Linked DNA regions of Macaca mulatta. The protein of the gene in region 1 purifies or fractionates together with the protein of each later gene. This does not show direct contact. Links are inferred from orthologs where the notes say so. Each region holds a gene or a part of one and is shown on either strand. Other genes may lie near its edges.

Region 1 (3,747 bases):
GCCTGGGGATTCCGGCTGCGCACAGACGAGGTGAAGGCCCGGGCTGCCCAAGTGACACACTTGTAGGCGGATTCGGAAACGCGTGCTCTCGAGCCGGAGGCGGAGCCCCCAGACTCAGACCGACCCCCCAGAACAAGGCGGCCTTGCCCGAGGCGTCAAGGCTTTCTAGGCCCGCTTCTAAAAGCTGTGTACAATGGAGACTCCTGGAATAGGCACATATCTCTACTGTAATCAGAACGAGATGTAACATCTAAGACGCAGGACAGGGCTCCGGCAAACACACGCTGGGGGAACGTGAAAGTAAGGGCCAAACTACGCAGCTGGTCCTCAGAGACCAAAGACTACGATTCCCAGCATTCAATGCAGTGTACCCCATAGGACATTGCATGTCGGGAGCTGTAGTTTCTCACCACCTCCATCTGGAAGGGTTCTAGGGGATTTTCAACCACTCTCGTGTGTTTCTCCTTTCCGAGAAGCGCCGCCACACGAGAACTCTGGCCGCGAAAGTCGTGCTGGAATCACTCCCAACGTAACCCCAGATATAGATGGGAAAGGGTGAAGAACACGTTGCCATGGCTACCGTTTCCACTGGTCACAGAATAAACGCTCTCTAGGATCCGGAAGTAGTTCCGCCGCGACCTCTCGAAAAAGATGGATGTGTTCTGTGCTTACATTCATTGGACGGTTGCCCTTAGAGGCCACAGCCGCCCAGGCAAAGGGGCGGTCCCACGTGTGAGGGGCCCGCGGAGCCATTTGATTGGAGAAAAGCTGCAAACCCTGACCAATCGGAAGGAGCCACGCTTCGGGCATCGGTCACCGCACCTGGACAGCTCCGATTGGTGGACTTCCGTCCCCCCCACGAATCCCCATTGGGTGCCGTGGGTGCGTGGTGCGGCGCGATTGGTGGGTTCATGTTTCCCGTCCCCCGCCCTCGAGAAGTGGGGGTGAAAAGCGGCCCGACCTGCTTGGGGTGTAGTGGGCGGACCGCGCGGCTGGAGGTGTGAGGATCCGAGCTTAGGGGTGGGGGTGGAGGCGGCTCCTGCGATCGAGAGGGACTTGAGACTCACCGGCCGCACGCCATGAGGGCCCTGTGGGTGCTGGGCCTCTGCTGCGTCCTGCTGACCTTCGGTGAGTGATCCTAGAGGAGCAGACGTCCCCCCTCTACACACGCGGCCGCTTCTCGAAGGTTCTGGGGGCGTTGAACCTGGGAGGGGGGATCCCGAGGCCTGCGGTGGGCCAAGGGACGTCACCTTTCCTCGAAAGAGGGCCAGGGGATTACGTTTATTCTCTTCTTCCTCTGGAAATAATAAAAGAGAGCAGAATCATCTAACTCCCCTACAGATCTAATAATATCTCGCCCGGAGGTCTCAGCGACCTCGGGGTGGGGCCTCTCTGGGGCTCTGGCTCCCCCGGGAGTTGTGAGGAGTCCCTCCCCCCTCCCCGCCCGGAGGACTTTTTCGGCCACCGCTACCTTCGGCCATCCCAGCTTTCCCGTCCGGTAATTCCCCAGACTCCGACTCCTCGCAAGCGCGTGTCCTTTCTTAAGAAGATGCTGGCTTGGGAGCGTGAGGCCTGGGGCCAGCGGAATGGCAGTGTCAGCGTGTTTGATTCGGTTTTGCTGGAGCTCGGTTCTTAACATTTCGCCCCCTTCTCATGCCTCTGGGCTCAATTTCAGTTCCTCTCGCCAGAGATTGCATAAATCCTATTTGCATTCTGACCTGTGATAACGAAGGCCGAAGTTTTGGTTTGGTCAGTTGGGAGGCCTTGGCTCGGCCTGCGCGCAACACGTGTGGTTGTAGAAGAGACCTGGTGTCAGTCTGCTTAACGTTATTTATAAATGATCGGAGACACACTGTTTAGAAGTGGTGACTACCTCAGTATTTCAGAATCTACTGGGGACCTCAACATCAGAACTTAAATAGATGTGCTGTCTTGGCTTTACCTTGGGTATTTAAACCAGGGAATACACTCTTTCATCCCCTCCACCCTTATTTACCAGCTGAATTTTGCAACCCCTACCCTTCCCTATTTGATCATCCTCCTTGGAGAAGTGCGATGTTGAAGAGTTTTCCCGTGTTAAATCTTCAGGGTCGGTCAGAGCTGACGACGAAGTTGATGTGGATGGTACAGTAGAAGAGGATCTGGGTAAAAGTAGAGAAGGCTCAAGGACGGATGATGAAGTAGTACAGAGGTTTGTGTTCATTTGAACTTACCTATACAGATAAGCCCTGTGAACCTTGTGAGTTAGGGTCACTTCTTATGTATCTCTTCTCCAAAGGTCCAGATAAAGTCTAACACCCTGTATTTAAATACCTGGTGAGTTGTGTGCATACATACCTCCTAACTTGTCCCTGGGAGTGATTAAAACTGAGTGAATTCCTTTGAAAACTATATTGCAGAATACTAGCACCACGAACTTTGTAAGACTTTAGAAAAGAGTTTCAGTTGGATTTGTATTCATTAACTGTGTACGCCGAGTAGTTTAAAAATGGGATTTCTGTCAGTTGAACAATATTTTAAAATTTGGCCTCTTGGGATTTATTGACAGTTTTGAAGTCCTCACCGTGGAGCATAAATGAGTATGACTTTGCTTTTTAGTAGAGGAGACTTGGGGGTTTTTTTTCTGGCAATTTTAAGAACCAGGTATTTCCAGTGCAATGTTAAAGGTAGCCTACTGCTGTGCTAACATAATGAGATGGTATATCAGTAATACTTTATAAGGGTTTCCATTTTAACCCCCAAGACAATATTTAGAGGCCACTGTGCTCGCATCATAATTCCTCTAGTTTTGAAGGGAACTAAGCCATGCAATATTTGCTTATCTAACTGATTTCCTTAGAGAGGAAGAAGCTATTCAGTTGGATGGATTAAATGCATCGCAAATAAGAGAACTTAGAGAGAAGTCGGAAAAGTTTGCCTTTCAAGCTGAAGTTAACAGAATGATGAAACTTATCATCAATTCATTGTATAAAAATAAAGAGGTAAGCAACATGTGGTTAGAATATTTTGTCTCTATATGGTGGCATACTTGTTTACTTAAATTTGCTTGATTTACTGCAAAAGTAATGTACTAACCGAGTAAGTAGCTAACAACCTTTAAATACTTAATATGTCCAAGAATTGTTACTAGATATCTGGGAAGAAAGGGAGCATCAGACATTTTCTTTTTCCTTTACCTCTAAATAGGTTCATGGCCTGATAATAGTTGTGATTCTAAGGGCAGTCTCGTAAATTAAACTTCTTGCATTGTATACCTCAAGATCACTGTCAGATGGGTAGTGTTACTACCCTTACCAGCTAATGTATCCCTTATAGTTGCCACAGTTCTTTGTGTAAGGAGCTATGCCTTTTTTTAATCAAAAGAATAAAGCCACTCCTATACCATAAGAAGTCTTAATTCCTTAAAGAGTGCTTTTATAAGGTACAGAGAAGAAATAAAATGGGTTTGGCATAAAATGAATATCTTAATGTATCTTGAGGATAGTCTTAAGTGTATTACCTCTGGCTTCCATTTAGATTTTCCTGAGAGAACTGATTTCAAATGCTTCCGACGCTTTAGATAAGATACGGCTAATATCACTGACTGATGAAAATGCTCTTTCTGGAAATGAGGAACTAACAGTTAAAATTAAGGTAAGTGTAAGGCAGTTTTTCTTTCTTTTAAAGGAAAAGGAATCCTTAGAGGTAGAAGATCCCTATCGGTCAAGATAGGCTAGATTATATTGCAATGACAAAAAACCCCCAAGC
Region 2 (3,747 bases), on another chromosome or scaffold:
GCCAGTCACGTGCCTCTGGCTTCAGAAGACTCCAGACTGGGGTGGGGTGGGGGGGTCCTGCCCATCTCCCTAGCACCTTATCTTCGCTACCATCTGTGTCTTTTTTCCCTCCCCAAACGGAACCCCCTGCCCTCTCGCCTATAGCCGTTTAATTGCAAAAGCCAGGCCGTTTGTGGGAGACCACAGACAGCGACCTCCTTCATTTACCGGTTGAGACGAGAGTAAAGGGGCTGCTGCAATCTGGGTAATAACCCTATCCCCACCCCAGGAGTCACAGTCACATCGTTAAGTCTTCCTCCCCTCTTGTCCCAGGCCAGCTTTAAAAACGTTAACAGCATTTCTGCTGGGTAGCACCTGGCCAGGGTCACCCCCTCTGTCTGCTCAGGAACGTCTGTCACTTCAGAGAGGTTAAGTGACTTGCCCCAGTCACACAGCAGCAGTCTGATAGGCTGCCAGGGCCCTAGGGGCAGAATGAGGAGAGGGCTGGCATTCTTCCCACTGGCCCGCGTGGCTGTAGCACCGGGGTGCAGCGTAGCCCCAGGGCCCCAACCCATGAGCTCTCTCCTATCCTGGGCGGGGGTAGGGGAGCAGCAGTGGGGTGCTGGTTCCCAAATGCAAGATAAGAACTGGCTAGGAAAGCCTTGCCCAGCCCCTCCACCTAGAGGGAACGGGAGGAAGAGAAGCTGAGGCGGGGTCCCGATCCCGCGTGGAAACACCTGCGCTCCCGCGGGTTCTTTAAACGCCCAGATGGGGAACGACGCGCACGGGCAAGGGCGGTCTTAGGTTCAGGTCTGGTCACATGACCTGGCCTGAGGGGCTCGCGGCCCCCACCTCACCAGTGGGCGTCCCCCACAACGCGTGGTCGACCATCATTGGTCAGTGGTGAGGCCAATAGAAATCGGCCATCTGGGAACCCAGCGTTCCGAGGCGCAGCCTAACCTAGTGAACCGACGAAGGTCCAATGGAAAGAGACGGCCGTGGGCGCAGGCCAATGATAAAGTGTCAGGGGCGGGCCCAAGGGCTGGGTCAGGTTGGTTTGAGAGGCGGGTGGGTATAAAAATGCAAGGCGGGCGGCGGCGTCCGTCCGTACTGCAGAGCCGCCGCCGGAGGGTCGTCTTAAAGGGCCCGCGCGCCGCCGCCCCCTCGGCCCGCCATGCTGCTATCCGTGCCGCTGCTGCTCGGCCTCCTCGGCTTGGCCGCCGCCGAGCCCGCCGTCTACTTCAAGGAGCAGTTTCTGGACGGAGGTAACGCCTGGTCCCACCTCGAGGCCGTCCCGACGACGCGGCCGGCCCCCCATCCCGGATCTGCGTCGTCGCCCGTAATTACCGCTTAGAGGGCCAACACAGTGGTCCCCGGCGACTGGAGCTGCGGGCGATCCCTCTTTTGCGTCTCTGGGGAGCGCGGAAGGCGTAGCGGCCTCCCGCGGTGGGAGTTAGGGTTCGCCCGAGGATCGCTGAAGGCACCCGACGTGTCAACTAGAGGTTGGGGTGGGGAGAGTCGGGGATCTCCTTCCCTGTCCCCAGCAGCTTGTGGTTCTCCGCAGATGCTTGGTGGGGGGGGGGATTAGCAGAGCCGCGCTGACCTAACTCTCTAACCCTCCACTTAGACGGGTGGACTTCCCGCTGGATCGAATCCAAACACAAGTCAGATTTTGGCAAATTCGTCCTCAGTTCCGGCAAGTTCTACGGTGACGAGGAGAAAGATAAAGGTAAGAGCTTAGGAGTGGGTGCTCAGATCCGCGAGGACTTCCTGGCAGAAGTCCTTGTCCGCACACACACAGCCGGGACAGTCCCCTAGGAGCAGGGCAGGTGGAGGAAGTGGGGGAGTCGTCTGTATCGTCTAAATCGAGGGTCCTCGCGGGTCAGGACCCAACGGTGACCACACTACCGTCCCGTCTCAGGTTTGCAGACAAGCCAGGATGCACGCTTTTATGCTCTGTCGGCCAGTTTCGAGCCTTTCAGCAACAAAGGCCAGACGCTGGTGGTGCAGTTCACGGTGAAACATGAGCAGAACATCGACTGTGGGGGCGGTTATGTGAAGCTGTTTCCTAATAGTTTGGACCAGACGGACATGCACGGAGACTCAGAATACAACATCATGTTTGGTGAGGGGCTGCTTCCTGGTGCTGACCTCTGTCCCATTAGTTGGAGGGAGACCCAGACCCCATTGACTTTCTTAATAGTTATGATTGTCTTTGGAAGGGGCGCTAAAAGAATTAAGTCACAGCAACAATTTATTGCGTTATGATCGCAGATCTAGGCTGTTAATTAATTTGTGTCATTGTATATAGTTATTTCCCAATCTTACAAATGAGGATGTTGAGTTCTAGAGCACTGATTTTTTTTTTTTAATTTAAACTTAAGGCTTCACCCACAACCCATTCAGCACAGAATCAGGGTCTGAGTTTCTCTTTTCAGCCTTGACAGACCCGAGTTTAGGAACCAGGTCTTCCTTTTGTAAAGAGGGGTGAGGAACTCGAAATGGTGGGTAGTCTCTGACTTTTAACTGGATCTGCTTCACACCTAGGTCCTGATATCTGTGGCCCCGGCACCAAGAAGGTTCACGTCATCTTCAACTACAAGGGCAAAAACGTGCTGATCAACAAGGACATCCGTTGCAAGGTGTGCCTGGGGGTGGTGGCAAATGGGTGTCATGGGGAGGTTCAGAGGTCAGCCTGATTGAGGGGGGGCTGCTCACCTTCTTCCTTCTTCAGGATGATGAGTTTACACACCTGTACACACTGATTGTGCGGCCAGACAACACTTATGAGGTGAAGATTGACAACAGCCAGGTGGAGTCGGGCTCCTTGGAAGACGATTGGGACTTCCTGCCACCCAAGAAGATAAAGGATCCTGATGCTTCAAAACCTGAAGACTGGGATGAGCGGGCCAAGATCGATGATCCCACAGACTCCAAGCCTGAGGTTGGTGTTTGGGTGGGGGCTCTGCTCTCCACATTGGAGGGTGTGAGGACATTTGGGCCAACTCTGACCTCTTCATCTACCCCCCAGGACTGGGACAAGCCCGAGCATATCCCTGACCCCGATGCTAAGAAACCCGAGGACTGGGATGAAGAGATGGATGGAGAGTGGGAACCCCCAGTGATTCAGAACCCTGAGTACAAGGTGAGTTTGGGGCTCTGAGCAGGGCTGGGGCTCACAGTGGGGAGTGCACCAACCTTACTCACCCTCTAGTTCCCTTCTTCCTTCTGCAGGGTGAGTGGAAGCCCCGGCAGATCGACAACCCAGATTACAAGGGCACTTGGATCCACCCAGAAATTGACAATCCTGAGTACTCTCCTGATCCCAGTATCTATGCCTATGATAACTTTGGTGTGCTGGGCCTGGACCTCTGGCAGGTGAGACTTGGAGGAAAAAGGAGGATCCCTGGGGTACCTCAAGTGCATAAGATTACCCAAGGGGAAAGTGACAGGATACGATCGCACCCCAGGCGGGTCTGACTCAAAAATGGTACTTTTTGTAAACAGTACTTCCTGGTCTGTCCCTGTGGAGTCCTCACAGCAATGCTTTTGAGGCTGTACTTCTTGTGAACTAAGTACTTCCCCAAGTACTTTTATGCAAATCAACTTCTTTAAATACCCTGAAAGAACTAGAAGGTGGTCAGGTAACCCACTTAGTTAGCTGGGGCTGGGCACAGTGGCTCACCCTTATAATCACAGTACTTTGGGAGACTGAGGCAGGAGGATTGCTTGAGGCCAAGAATTAGACAACCTTGCTTGGCAACGTAG

The links. Proteins that work in one complex are often made in the same cells at the same time.
Region 2: the proteins of HSP90B1 (region 1) and CALR fractionate together in Homo sapiens (co-fractionation; 4 studies listed by BioGRID, with this or other methods). This does not show direct contact. The link is inferred for Macaca mulatta from reciprocal best matches to the Homo sapiens genes HSP90B1 and CALR.

Annotation. Positions count from the first base shown.
Region 1 is NC_133416.1:111,149,227-111,152,973, forward strand, and holds the start of HSP90B1 (endoplasmin precursor), read left to right. Parts: upstream 1-1,079; coding exon 1,080-1,128; coding exon of another isoform or gene 1,129-1,297; intron 1,298-1,471; coding exon of another isoform or gene 1,472-1,481; exon of another isoform or gene 1,482-1,718; intron 1,719-2,088; coding exon 2,089-2,191; intron 2,192-2,839; coding exon 2,840-2,981; intron 2,982-3,516; coding exon 3,517-3,633; intron 3,634-3,747. Other genes in the region: uncharacterized protein LOC144333002, read right to left, coding at 675-1,297, 1,472-1,481.
Region 2 is NC_133424.1:13,503,721-13,507,467, forward strand, and holds the start of CALR (calreticulin precursor), read left to right. Parts: upstream 1-1,122; 5' UTR 1,123-1,153; coding exon 1,154-1,244; intron 1,245-1,606; coding exon 1,607-1,708; intron 1,709-1,900; coding exon 1,901-2,104; intron 2,105-2,526; coding exon 2,527-2,621; intron 2,622-2,713; coding exon 2,714-2,923; intron 2,924-3,010; coding exon 3,011-3,124; intron 3,125-3,213; coding exon 3,214-3,357; exon of another isoform or gene 3,358-3,390; intron 3,391-3,747. UniProt on the Homo sapiens protein: Calcium-binding chaperone that promotes folding, oligomeric assembly and quality control in the endoplasmic reticulum (ER) via the calreticulin/calnexin cycle.